Saccharomyces cerevisiae S288C: one gene and its partners. The protein of the gene in region 1 binds, or shares a complex with, the protein of each later gene. Each region holds a gene or a part of one and is shown in the gene's direction. Other genes may lie near its edges.

Evidence for each region. The genes of interacting proteins can lie anywhere in the genome.
Region 2: the proteins of ATG7 (region 1) and ATG10 are in contact, whole or in part, in a crystal structure (PDB 4GSK), measured with the Saccharomyces cerevisiae proteins. Residues at the interface, in NP_012041.1 of Saccharomyces cerevisiae: Lys14 (codon at 1,743), Phe16 (codon at 1,749), Leu17 (codon at 1,752), Asp18 (codon at 1,755), Thr19 (codon at 1,758), Asp47 (codon at 1,842), His49 (codon at 1,848), Asn50 (codon at 1,851), Ile51 (codon at 1,854), Pro52 (codon at 1,857), Lys53 (codon at 1,860), Ser54 (codon at 1,863), Pro59 (codon at 1,878), Phe61 (codon at 1,884), Arg65 (codon at 1,896), Asn71 (codon at 1,914), Asn72 (codon at 1,917), Arg74 (codon at 1,923), Lys94 (codon at 1,983), Arg135 (codon at 2,106), Tyr137 (codon at 2,112), Asn276 (codon at 2,529), Val277 (codon at 2,532), Gln278 (codon at 2,535), Ala282 (codon at 2,547), Pro283 (codon at 2,550), Val285 (codon at 2,556), Val286 (codon at 2,559), Asp287 (codon at 2,562), Leu288 (codon at 2,565); in NP_013058.1 of Saccharomyces cerevisiae: Gln12 (codon at 2,449), Tyr15 (codon at 2,458), Asp16 (codon at 2,461), Gln18 (codon at 2,467), His21 (codon at 2,476), Asn22 (codon at 2,479), Gln27 (codon at 2,494), Asp28 (codon at 2,497), Val29 (codon at 2,500), His30 (codon at 2,503), Leu31 (codon at 2,506), Asp33 (codon at 2,512), Glu34 (codon at 2,515), Lys35 (codon at 2,518), Leu39 (codon at 2,530), Arg41 (codon at 2,536), Glu64 (codon at 2,605), Arg81 (codon at 2,656), Trp83 (codon at 2,662), Ile88 (codon at 2,677), Asp89 (codon at 2,680), Gly90 (codon at 2,683), Ile91 (codon at 2,686), Pro92 (codon at 2,689), Met93 (codon at 2,692), Thr94 (codon at 2,695), Lys95 (codon at 2,698), Leu96 (codon at 2,701), Leu98 (codon at 2,707), Pro99 (codon at 2,710).
Region 3: the proteins of ATG7 (region 1) and ATG8 are in contact, whole or in part, in a crystal structure (PDB 3RUI), measured with the Saccharomyces cerevisiae proteins. Residues at the interface, in NP_012041.1 of Saccharomyces cerevisiae: Gly333 (codon at 2,700), Thr334 (codon at 2,703), Leu335 (codon at 2,706), Leu436 (codon at 3,009), Val437 (codon at 3,012), Asp438 (codon at 3,015), Ser439 (codon at 3,018), Arg440 (codon at 3,021), Arg443 (codon at 3,030), Ala460 (codon at 3,081), Ala461 (codon at 3,084), Leu462 (codon at 3,087), Gly463 (codon at 3,090), Asp465 (codon at 3,096), Ser466 (codon at 3,099), Tyr467 (codon at 3,102), Leu468 (codon at 3,105), Tyr486 (codon at 3,159), Cys488 (codon at 3,165), His489 (codon at 3,168), Asp490 (codon at 3,171), Val491 (codon at 3,174), Val492 (codon at 3,177), Ala493 (codon at 3,180), Thr495 (codon at 3,186), Asp496 (codon at 3,189), Ser497 (codon at 3,192), Asp500 (codon at 3,201), Met506 (codon at 3,219), Thr510 (codon at 3,231); in NP_009475.1 of Saccharomyces cerevisiae: Arg28 (codon at 2,453), Glu37 (codon at 2,480), Lys38 (codon at 2,483), Lys46 (codon at 2,507), Tyr49 (codon at 2,516), Leu50 (codon at 2,519), Pro52 (codon at 2,525), Leu55 (codon at 2,534), Gly58 (codon at 2,543), Gln59 (codon at 2,546), Val61 (codon at 2,552), Tyr62 (codon at 2,555), Val63 (codon at 2,558), Arg65 (codon at 2,564), Lys66 (codon at 2,567), Arg67 (codon at 2,570), Pro72 (codon at 2,585), Glu73 (codon at 2,588), Lys74 (codon at 2,591), Ala75 (codon at 2,594), Ile76 (codon at 2,597), Phe77 (codon at 2,600), Phe79 (codon at 2,606), Asp82 (codon at 2,615), Thr83 (codon at 2,618), Leu84 (codon at 2,621), Pro86 (codon at 2,627), Thr87 (codon at 2,630), Ala88 (codon at 2,633), Glu112 (codon at 2,705).

Annotation. Positions count from the first base shown.
Region 1 is NC_001140.6:444,010-448,105, forward strand, and holds ATG7 (Atg7p), read left to right. Parts: upstream 1-1,703; coding exon 1,704-3,596; downstream 3,597-4,096. Other genes in the region: ribosome-binding protein NMD3, read left to right, coding at 1-1,375. UniProt on the Saccharomyces cerevisiae protein: E1-like activating enzyme involved in the 2 ubiquitin-like systems required for cytoplasm to vacuole transport (Cvt) and autophagy. Activates ATG12 for its conjugation with ATG5 and ATG8 for its conjugation with phosphatidylethanolamine.
Region 2 is NC_001144.5:50,811-55,005, reverse strand, and holds ATG10 (E2-like conjugating enzyme), read left to right. Parts: upstream 1-2,415; coding exon 2,416-2,919; downstream 2,920-4,195. Other genes in the region: membrane morphogenesis protein VPS13, read left to right, coding at 1-795; succinate dehydrogenase iron-sulfur protein subunit SDH2, read left to right, coding at 1,075-1,875; FPS1 (Fps1p), read right to left, coding at 3,059-4,195. UniProt on the Saccharomyces cerevisiae protein: E2-like enzyme required for the cytoplasm to vacuole transport (Cvt), autophagy and nucleophagy. Acts as an E2-like enzyme that catalyzes the conjugation of ATG12 to ATG5.
Region 3 is NC_001134.8:79,102-83,102, reverse strand, and holds ATG8 (ubiquitin-like protein ATG8), read left to right. Parts: upstream 1-2,371; coding exon 2,372-2,725; downstream 2,726-4,001. Other genes in the region: isoleucine--tRNA ligase ILS1, read left to right, coding at 1-2,060; NUP170 (Nup170p), read right to left, coding at 3,336-4,001.

The DNA of each region.
Region 1 (4,096 bases):
TGAAAGATTTTTGCAACCACCTGGACAATGGATCAGAGCAGAATTAGAATCTAGAGAATTACTGGCCATTTGTTTGCGTCGTTTGAAGGGCCTAACAAAAGTCAGATTAGTGGATGCTTCATTCATTTGGACAGAACCCCATTCTAGACGTATTAGAATTAAACTTACCGTGCAGGGAGAAGCCATGACAAATACTATTATTCAGCAAACTTTCGAAGTAGAATACATTGTTATTGCGATGCAATGTCCAGACTGTGCCAGATCCTACACTACAAATACTTGGAGGGCTACTGTCCAAATTAGACAAAAAGTGCCTCACAAGAGAACATTTTTGTTTTTGGAACAACTGATTTTGAAACATAATGCTCATGTGGATACCATTTCCATTAGTGAAGCTAAGGACGGGTTGGATTTCTTCTATGCGCAAAAAAACCACGCAGTTAAGATGATTGATTTTTTGAACGCTGTTGTTCCGATTAAACATAAAAAGTCTGAAGAACTTATTTCTCAAGATACACATACTGGTGCATCTACTTATAAATTTTCATATTCTGTCGAGATTGTTCCTATCTGTAAAGATGACTTGGTCGTTTTACCAAAAAAACTGGCTAAATCTATGGGTAACATTTCTCAATTTGTTCTATGTTCTAAGATTTCTAACACTGTCCAGTTTATGGATCCGACTACTTTGCAAACCGCGGATCTGTCACCATCTGTGTACTGGAGGGCTCCATTCAACGCCCTGGCTGATGTGACCCAGTTGGTGGAGTTCATTGTTCTGGACGTGGATTCTACAGGTATAAGCAGGGGAAATCGTGTCTTAGCTGACATTACTGTTGCTAGAACGTCTGACTTGGGTGTTAATGACCAAGTCTACTACGTCAGGTCTCATCTCGGTGGTATTTGCCATGCAGGTGATAGTGTTATGGGTTATTTCATTGCAAACTCGAATTACAACTCAGATCTTTTTGATGGGTTAAATATCGATTATGTGCCTGATGTAGTTCTTGTGAAGAAATTGTATCAAAGAAAGAGCAAAAAGAGCAGACACTGGAAGTTAAAGAGAATGGCTAAGGAACACAAAGATATCGATGCATCCTTAGATTACAATTCAAGAGCTCAAAAGCAAGAAATGGAACGTGCAGAAAAGGACTACGAATTATTCTTACAAGAATTAGAAGAGGATGCTGAATTAAGACAAAGTGTTAACCTATACAAAAACCGCGAAGCAAATGTACCTCCTGAAGAGCATGAAATGGATGAAGACGAGGATGAAGACGCTCCACAAATCAACATTGATGAATTATTGGACGAGTTAGATGAAATGACATTAGAAGATGGAGTCGAGAACACACCCGTTGAATCTCAGCAGTAAAAAAACACCAAAGAATGGAGAGTAGTATATACTCTTAACAAACACTAGCATTTCAGTTTATCTATATACATATATATGGATGTAAAATGTACTTTATGGAAGAACAAGCCACCACATGTTGAAAACTAGATAGGCAAGCAAGATTTTTCATTTGTAGAGCTCTTACGCAAGATTTTTAAACTTCCGCTTTTTTAATCCATGAGATTCCTTTGGACACCCTTTCCGGCACGGCAAAACAAAAAAATTAAGGGAACTCATTATTTTACGATGCTACTTAGATAACTAAAGTTCATTATATTTCAACAAATATAAGATAATCAAGAATAAAATGTCGTCAGAAAGGGTCTTAAGTTATGCACCAGCTTTTAAATCATTTCTGGATACATCTTTTTTCCAAGAATTATCGAGATTGAAACTCGATGTTCTGAAATTAGATTCAACATGCCAACCACTTACTGTGAATCTAGATTTACACAACATTCCTAAATCTGCTGATCAAGTTCCATTATTCTTAACAAATAGAAGCTTTGAAAAACACAATAATAAGCGTACTAATGAAGTGCCTTTACAGGGCAGTATTTTCAATTTTAATGTATTAGACGAGTTTAAGAATCTTGATAAGCAACTATTTTTACATCAAAGAGCATTGGAATGCTGGGAAGATGGAATAAAGGATATCAATAAGTGTGTTTCTTTTGTGATTATTAGTTTTGCTGACCTAAAAAAGTACAGGTTTTATTACTGGTTAGGTGTTCCCTGTTTTCAAAGACCCTCTTCAACAGTTTTACATGTGCGGCCAGAGCCGAGTTTAAAAGGGCTGTTCTCAAAGTGTCAAAAATGGTTTGATGTCAATTACTCAAAATGGGTGTGTATACTGGATGCAGACGATGAAATAGTAAATTATGACAAGTGTATTATTCGAAAAACTAAAGTTTTGGCGATAAGGGACACTAGTACGATGGAAAACGTCCCTTCTGCTCTAACCAAAAATTTTCTCAGCGTGTTGCAATACGATGTTCCTGACTTGATAGATTTCAAACTATTAATTATTAGACAGAACGAAGGTAGCTTTGCATTAAATGCTACATTTGCTTCTATTGACCCACAATCATCCTCAAGTAACCCAGATATGAAAGTTTCTGGATGGGAAAGGAATGTGCAAGGTAAGCTAGCACCACGTGTTGTTGATTTAAGTTCATTGTTAGATCCTTTAAAAATTGCTGACCAATCCGTGGATTTAAATTTGAAGCTAATGAAATGGAGAATTCTTCCTGACTTAAATCTAGATATCATCAAAAACACAAAAGTACTACTACTAGGTGCTGGTACACTAGGTTGTTATGTTTCACGCGCATTGATAGCATGGGGGGTTAGAAAAATAACATTTGTGGATAACGGTACAGTTTCATATTCAAATCCAGTGAGGCAAGCGTTATATAATTTTGAGGACTGTGGAAAGCCAAAGGCAGAACTTGCGGCTGCGTCTTTGAAAAGAATATTTCCTTTAATGGACGCTACTGGTGTGAAATTAAGTATTCCTATGATCGGTCATAAATTAGTAAACGAGGAGGCTCAGCATAAGGATTTTGATAGATTAAGAGCATTAATAAAAGAGCATGATATCATTTTTTTATTGGTGGATTCTCGAGAAAGCAGATGGCTTCCGTCGTTATTGAGCAACATCGAAAACAAAACCGTTATTAATGCTGCTCTGGGGTTTGATAGCTACTTAGTTATGAGGCATGGTAATAGAGATGAACAGTCTTCAAAACAACTGGGCTGTTATTTTTGCCATGATGTGGTAGCACCAACTGACAGTTTAACTGACAGGACTTTGGATCAAATGTGCACAGTAACTAGACCCGGCGTTGCTATGATGGCCTCTTCTTTAGCAGTTGAATTGATGACTTCCTTACTACAGACCAAATACTCTGGTTCAGAAACAACAGTATTAGGGGATATACCTCATCAAATACGTGGGTTTTTGCATAATTTTTCCATCTTAAAATTAGAAACTCCAGCCTATGAGCATTGTCCAGCATGTAGCCCTAAAGTTATCGAAGCATTTACAGACTTAGGTTGGGAATTTGTTAAAAAGGCCTTGGAGCATCCACTTTACCTTGAAGAAATTAGCGGTTTGTCAGTCATAAAGCAGGAGGTCGAACGACTAGGCAACGATGTTTTTGAATGGGAAGATGATGAATCTGATGAGATTGCTTAATATTTTGCATATAATAGCATTGGTACATATTGTGGTGCCACTTTCCGTAATTAAGCTACTAAATTTTTGACTCTAACGTTTATAACATTGAATTATTAAAATGATCTTGCTATACTATTTTGCATACATTATTTTTTGTAGTTTTAACAAGAAGACAAATTCTTGACTTTACTCACAAAACATAAACATAAAATGTAATAAAGTCCTCAATGTTCACCGTATTTTTCAAAAAGGATCAGTGAAAGTGTCGGTAAAGCTACCTTTTTGATACTTTCTTTTTATGAGAATAAGTTGTATTTCTTTATTATGTATGATACGGGCGTTCAATCAATACGTTTTAAGTTCGTTGCTGACGGCTAAGAAATTGGTAAGAGGAGTAGTTCCATCAATGTCTAAAGTGATATGATAAAAACTATACGATTTGAAGATCTATGCGTTCACTTCACGTATCCAAGTTTCCCCTCCTAATAATTCACATTAATTTGGCATTCATATCTAAA
Region 2 (4,195 bases), on another chromosome or scaffold:
AAAGGTGGACTAAGTTTTGCAAAGAAAACAGTCTTTGGCCTCTCTGATAGTATGTCCAAGTTTACGGGGTCGATGGCCAAGGGCCTGTCAGTTACACAAGATCTGGAATTCCAAAGGGTCAGGAGATTACAACAAAGAATAAATAAAAACAACAGGAATGCCTTGGCAAACTCAGCGCAATCCTTTGCCAGCACACTGGGAAGCGGGTTGAGCGGAATTGCACTGGACCCATACAAGGCCATGCAAAAGGAAGGCGCCGCTGGTTTCCTCAAAGGCCTTGGTAAAGGTATCGTTGGGCTGCCAACTAAGACAGCCATTGGATTCTTAGATCTTACAAGTAACTTAAGTCAAGGCGTGAAAAGTACCACCACTGTGCTTGACATGCAAAAGGGTTGCAGAGTGCGTCTACCAAGGTACGTGGACCATGATCAAATCATCAAGCCTTATGATCTACGTGAGGCCCAAGGACAATACTGGCTCAAGACCGTGAATGGAGGAGTATTTATGAATGATGAATACCTGTCGCACGTTATATTGCCAGGCAAAGAACTAGCAGTAATTGTGTCCATGCAGCACATTGCTGAGGTGCAAATGGCCACCCAAGAGCTTATGTGGAGCACAGGATATCCTTCCATCCAGGGAATTACATTGGAAAGATCCGGTCTTCAAATTAAACTCAAGTCTCAATCCGAATACTTCATTCCCATCAGCGATCCTGAAGAACGTCGGTCCTTGTACAGGAACATCGCCATTGCTGTTAGAGAATACAATAAGTACTGTGAAGCTATCCTATGATCACATATGAAAGTATATACCCGCTTTTGTACACTATGTAGCTATAATTCAATCGTATTATTGTAGCTCCGCACGACCATGCCTTAGAAATATCCGCAGCGCGCAAAAGGCGGCCTCGCATTGGCCCAATTAGCTCCGGTGTAAAAAGGGCAAACTTATATAAGGGGATTAATGACTTTCTATGAGAATGCCAAAAAATGTTAGGCTAAAGGAAGGGATTGAAAGGAATATAGTTGAGCTATACTTTCTTGAAATACTGGAGTATACATATTTATAGGGATGTTGAACGTGCTATTGAGAAGGAAGGCCTTTTGTTTGGTGACGAAGAAGGGTATGGCTACTGCCACAACAGCTGCAGCTACGCATACCCCCAGATTGAAAACTTTTAAAGTTTACAGATGGAATCCAGACGAGCCAAGTGCTAAACCTCATTTACAGTCATATCAAGTGGATCTGAATGACTGTGGGCCCATGGTACTTGATGCGCTGTTAAAGATCAAAGACGAACAGGATTCTACCCTAACTTTTAGAAGATCATGTAGAGAAGGTATCTGCGGTTCATGTGCCATGAACATTGGCGGTAGAAACACGCTAGCTTGTATATGTAAGATCGACCAGAACGAATCCAAACAACTCAAGATCTATCCATTACCCCACATGTTTATTGTCAAAGATTTGGTACCTGATTTAACTAACTTCTACCAACAATACAAATCTATCCAACCTTACTTACAGAGATCATCGTTTCCAAAGGATGGAACGGAAGTGCTACAAAGTATTGAAGATCGTAAGAAACTGGATGGTCTTTACGAATGTATTCTGTGTGCATGCTGCTCTACTTCATGTCCATCGTACTGGTGGAACCAAGAACAGTATTTGGGCCCTGCCGTGCTAATGCAAGCCTACCGTTGGCTAATTGACTCTAGAGACCAAGCTACAAAGACAAGAAAGGCCATGCTAAACAACTCCATGTCATTGTACAGATGTCACACCATCATGAACTGTACTAGAACTTGTCCAAAGGGCTTGAATCCTGGTTTGGCTATTGCTGAAATTAAGAAATCTTTGGCATTTGCCTAGACTATCAGAAAAACAGCTAGCCCCGAAGAACTCAGAAGCCTCTCAAATGATTTTGGCACTAATAAAAGCACCAACTATTATTATTATTATTTTCAAGGACGAAACTCACCATTCTCACACATTCCTATACGTTAGGCGTTTATGTTTACTCTCTATGACTATTATTTATTTATCATTGGCAATGCTATGACCCGGTCTGTATATATGTCCATCATAGGCGACAAGGTGTTCTAGTATCTTCAGGTATTGTTGTTTTTAAGGATGAATTTATATCTTTGTTTTTGAAGGGCCTTTTGGCTTCTCTCCCCTATTTATTCAATTTATAACTATTTATTATATTAATACACGCGTAATGCTTAAGGTTTATTATTAAAGGACTGTTTTTATATTTACATGCCTGTAGTTAATTATATTTTCGTTGTGAAATTTCTGTTAAGAAACTCTATATGAAAGGTAACGAACTTAAAATTGAAAAGCAATGAGAAGAGAACACCATGAAAAAAAAAAAAAAAGGGCTAAAAAACAGAATTATCAGACTTGATGATTCCTTACCAGGAGTGGCATAGCCAACTGCAATCGTTGTATGACTCCCAGATTTTCCATAACTGGGCCCTTTGCCAAGATGTCCATTTGAATGATGAAAAGGATGGACTTCTTTTGCGTTTAATACCTACTCGACAACTGCAGAAAAATACTGAGCGTATAGAAAATAAATTACTAAATCATATAGAATTATATCTTACATATTCAAAAGTATATAACGAGCCCTTACTACTTTTGCGAATATGGGAGGAGAAAAGCATAGATGGTATTCCAATGACCAAATTGATGCTCCCAACTGATATCGAATCGCTGCTTGATGTTCAAGGCAAATTCCAACTAGGTTTGGATACTATCATTAACCTGGAAGGTAGCGTTTGGTATTCTTTCCATCCATGCGATACATCATGTATAGTAGGTGACCAGGCTGAGTTCATGTCAACTTACTTAAGACGATGGGTCAGTATTTTCATATTTAGTTGGTTAGGTTATGAAGATTCATAGCTTAACCTAGGAAAGCTTTTTAAAACACTATGCAATCATCTATGTAAATATATATATATATATATATTATACCGGCGGTAGTAAGCAGTATTTTTTTCTATCAGTCTATATTATTTGTTTCTTTTTCTTGTCTGTTTTCTCATGTTACCTTCTTAGCATTACCATAATGCGAATCTTCTGATGATGTGTCGGATAACCCAATAGAATCAGTCGTCGTCGCACCTAGCGAAGCAGTTTCAATGGAATCTTCTTCTTCAAGAATTGTTGGTATACCACCAAACGTTCTTTTGCCGCGCTGAACAGATTTAAATTGCACTTTCTTTTCTCCTGCTTCATTTTCGTTGTCTGAAATAGATGACTTGGTCTTTGTCTTTTGAAGAGCCATTCTTTCTCCAAATTCCTCATCATCATCGTTATTGTATGAGAAGTCACTCAGGTCCGATGTTCTTCTTGCTCTATTTCTCTTCTTCCAACCAGGCCTTCTAAACCAGGCTCTCATAATCATTTCCTTATAAACTGGTAAAGACCAGTTGACTGGAGATTCATGACCCTGATAAATACAGACATCGTAAACCAACCCCCCCATTAACGCACCAATAAATGGGCCTACCATGGGAACCCAAAAGAAATGATGATGATGCACCCAAAGCATTTTATGATCAAATCCAACTGCATATAGTGCAAGACGTGGGCCCAGATCACGAGCCAAATTCATTGCTGTACCTGTCTGATAAGCCATGGAAGCATTGATAATGAAAATCAAAATAAACATCATCAATGGGAAAACATCAGAGGACAAACACGTATAAGGATCGGTCAGCGCAAATGTTCCTGCTTGTAACATAGCTCCACATAAAAATTCGGAAAAAAATTGCCGTCCTGAACTTAGATAAGGCTTTGGAAAAACGCAAAACATTCCCGCAACACTTTCATTCATCCACCAATCGCTATATGCCTCTTGTAACACCCTTTTGTACCAAATAAACAAGATCAAAGCGCCTGTGAAGGCACCGATCAATTGTCCAGCAAAGTAATAAGGAACTTTCTTCAGGGGAAAACCTCTATACACCAAATTGGCTAATGTAATAGACGGATTCAAATGAGCACCTGAGATGGCACTACCACCAGCGCAGAAATAGCCCATCACCACGGCAGCAGCCCAGCCCAATGCCACATCATCAAAGGTACCGCCCGCAACGGATGAAACCAAGGATGTTAAACTCTTCATAGCGTCTATCGTTTCTGCAGAAGACCCGGTAACGTTAAGGTTATCCAA
Region 3 (4,001 bases), on another chromosome or scaffold:
ATTTGTTATTGGCATCCCAAATTCGCCATTCCTATCCATTCTGTTGGAGATCCGATACCCCATTGTTATACCGTTCTGTTCCAGCTTGGTTCGTTCGTGTTAAAAACATTGTCCCTCAAATGTTGGATTCTGTGATGAAATCTCACTGGGTTCCTAACACCATCAAGGAAAAGAGGTTCGCCAACTGGATCGCCAATGCCCGTGACTGGAACGTTTCCAGAAATAGATATTGGGGTACTCCAATTCCTTTATGGGTTTCAGACGATTTTGAGGAGGTCGTCTGTGTTGGTTCTATCAAAGAATTGGAAGAATTGACCGGTGTGCGTAACATCACTGACTTGCATCGTGATGTCATTGACAAATTGACAATTCCATCCAAGCAAGGTAAGGGTGACTTAAAGAGAATTGAAGAAGTTTTTGATTGTTGGTTTGAATCTGGTTCTATGCCTTATGCTTCTCAACATTATCCATTTGAAAACACAGAAAAATTTGACGAAAGAGTTCCAGCTAATTTCATCTCTGAAGGTTTGGATCAAACAAGAGGTTGGTTCTACACGTTAGCTGTCTTAGGTACCCATCTATTTGGCTCTGTTCCATACAAGAACGTCATCGTCTCTGGTATTGTCTTAGCTGCCGATGGTAGAAAGATGTCTAAATCCTTGAAAAATTACCCTGATCCATCCATTGTTCTGAACAAATATGGTGCGGATGCATTAAGATTGTACTTGATAAACTCACCTGTTTTAAAAGCTGAAAGTTTGAAATTCAAAGAAGAGGGTGTTAAGGAGGTTGTTTCAAAGGTCTTACTACCATGGTGGAACTCCTTTAAATTTTTGGACGGTCAAATTGCCTTGTTGAAAAAGATGTCTAACATCGACTTCCAATATGATGATTCTGTGAAAAGTGATAATGTCATGGACAGATGGATTTTAGCTTCTATGCAATCTCTAGTACAATTCATTCACGAAGAAATGGGTCAGTACAAATTATACACTGTCGTTCCAAAACTTTTGAATTTCATTGATGAATTGACAAACTGGTATATTAGATTTAATCGTCGTCGTTTGAAGGGTGAAAACGGTGTTGAGGACTGTTTGAAAGCATTAAATTCTTTATTCGATGCCTTATTCACATTTGTCCGTGCCATGGCTCCATTCACCCCATTTTTGTCAGAAAGCATTTATTTGAGACTGAAGGAATACATCCCAGAAGCTGTCTTAGCAAAATACGGTAAGGACGGAAGATCAGTCCATTTCTTATCTTACCCAGTGGTCAAGAAAGAATACTTTGACGAGGCCATCGAAACTGCAGTTTCTAGAATGCAATCCGTTATCGATTTGGGTAGAAACATTCGTGAAAAGAAAACTATTTCCTTAAAAACTCCATTGAAGACTTTGGTCATCCTTCACAGTGATGAATCATACTTGAAGGATGTAGAAGCCTTGAAAAACTACATTATCGAGGAATTAAATGTTCGTGATGTTGTTATCACCTCCGATGAGGCAAAATATGGTGTTGAGTATAAAGCAGTTGCTGATTGGCCTGTATTGGGTAAGAAGTTGAAAAAAGACGCAAAGAAGGTTAAAGATGCCCTACCATCAGTCACTTCTGAGCAAGTACGGGAATATTTGGAAAGCGGAAAGTTGGAGGTTGCCGGTATTGAACTGGTTAAAGGAGATTTGAATGCTATTAGAGGCTTGCCAGAATCTGCTGTCCAAGCTGGACAAGAAACCAGAACCGACCAAGACGTGTTAATCATCATGGATACAAATATTTACTCTGAACTAAAGAGTGAAGGTCTCGCAAGAGAGCTGGTCAACAGAATCCAAAAATTGAGAAAGAAGTGTGGTTTGGAAGCCACCGACGATGTTTTAGTGGAGTACGAATTAGTTAAAGATACTATCGACTTTGAAGCCATTGTCAAAGAACATTTTGATATGTTAAGCAAGACCTGTAGATCCGACATTGCCAAATATGACGGCTCAAAGACAGACCCAATTGGTGATGAAGAACAATCTATTAATGACACCATTTTCAAATTAAAAGTGTTCAAATTATGAAAACAACTCATATAAATACGTACAAATTTTTCTCTACTCGAAGTGATATAGATGTATATGTGTAAGTTTACGTTTAAGTTAGAGTCATGTAATGCTAACTGTCTCCACCGATAATGTTGTATAATACCCGTGAAATCATAGCACATGATATATCATCACCCGGAGGCCGGTTATTTTCGGCGGCGGCAAAAATATTTGGTATAATTATGGAAATACAAAAAGGGGAACCATTAAAGGTTGAGGAGGGGATTGATAAGAGAATCTAATAATTGTAAAGTTGAGAAAATCATAATAAAATAATTACTAGAGACATGAAGTCTACATTTAAGTCTGAATATCCATTTGAAAAAAGGAAGGCGGAGTCGGAGAGGATTGCTGACAGGTTCAAGAATAGGATACCTGTGATTTGCGAAAAAGCTGAAAAGTCAGATATTCCAGAGATTGATAAGCGTAAATATCTAGTTCCTGCTGACCTTACCGTAGGGCAATTTGTTTATGTTATAAGAAAGAGAATTATGCTACCCCCTGAGAAGGCCATCTTCATTTTTGTCAATGATACTTTGCCACCTACTGCGGCGTTGATGTCTGCCATATATCAAGAACACAAGGATAAGGACGGGTTTTTGTATGTCACTTACTCAGGAGAAAATACATTTGGCAGGTAGTCTTTTATATGAAAAGAAATGAAGCGTTAACATCTAAAATCGAAATTATAGGGACTCATTAGCCATCTATTGTTCCAGTATAAGAATGTTTACATAAAAAATTCGAAAAAAAAAGATAAAATAAGGGAAAAATATATATATATTCATTAAGAAGTTTTGTACACAACGGAGCCAAGATTTCACCAGTATTTGGAGACAAATGTGAGCACGTTATGGTATTTACTTACAGATTACGATCTGTTCAATGCATCAGAAATAGGAAGAAATTCAAAATAAAATAAAAAAAATATTAGGAAGGAGTGAAAAAGCAAATAAGATGATACAGTAAGGTGGAGTTAATGTCTTTCTTCTCCAAAATGTATTCTTGCTAACCAAAAATCTGATTCTCTCTGACCTGTTCGTTTGTCTTATGTATGTAGAATCAATTTCTTACAGAATTTTAAATACTGTATAGTGGAAAAGAATAATAAATAAATACTCGACTATATTTACCTTTATCTTAAGGAAAAGTTCACTCGATATTCTTAACTTTACCGTCTAGTAAGGCCTCTTTATTACATTAAAATATACACGTACATTACCCTGCTATCTATATGTCGAACATGAATTTTTATTCTTTGTAGAAACAAATCCCCAAATTATTGCCGCTGTTCTTAACGTACTTTTCAATTGGATCATTATCAATTTTGTATTCCTTCAAGTGAATGATATCGTTGTAGGAAATAATGTCCCTAAATTTCCTGTCCGATTTGTACCATTCGTGAATTAACCAGGTCATTTCTTTATTAAATACGGAATTATCGGAATCTGATGTCTCGATTAGTTCTTTTAAAATATAGTACATTTTGTTGAAAGAAACACCCGCTGTTATGAATATAGAAACTATCGACCCTGATACAATATGTTCCTTAGGTAGTGTTTCGTAGAAAAAATTACAGACAATGGGAAAGAGTTCGAAAATGGGGAAAATGAATTCAGAATCCTGAACATTTTTACCAATTTTAATCAGTACATTAGACAGTAAGTTGATGAAGTTCATTGAATCTTCTTTCTTTCCGGTATTATTAAATTCCATCCTCAAAGATTGGAATAGCTCATCCCACTTGGCCATAATTACTTCATGGTCCCTAAAATCTGCTATCTTGAAAATGAATAGGGCAATTTCATGGTAACTTAAGGGTACAGCAAAATCATTAAACAGCTCACTTGTGCTCAATATTTTACCATCTAGAGTTTTGATCAGCTCATCTTTAATGGCTGAATCTATTCTTGCGTC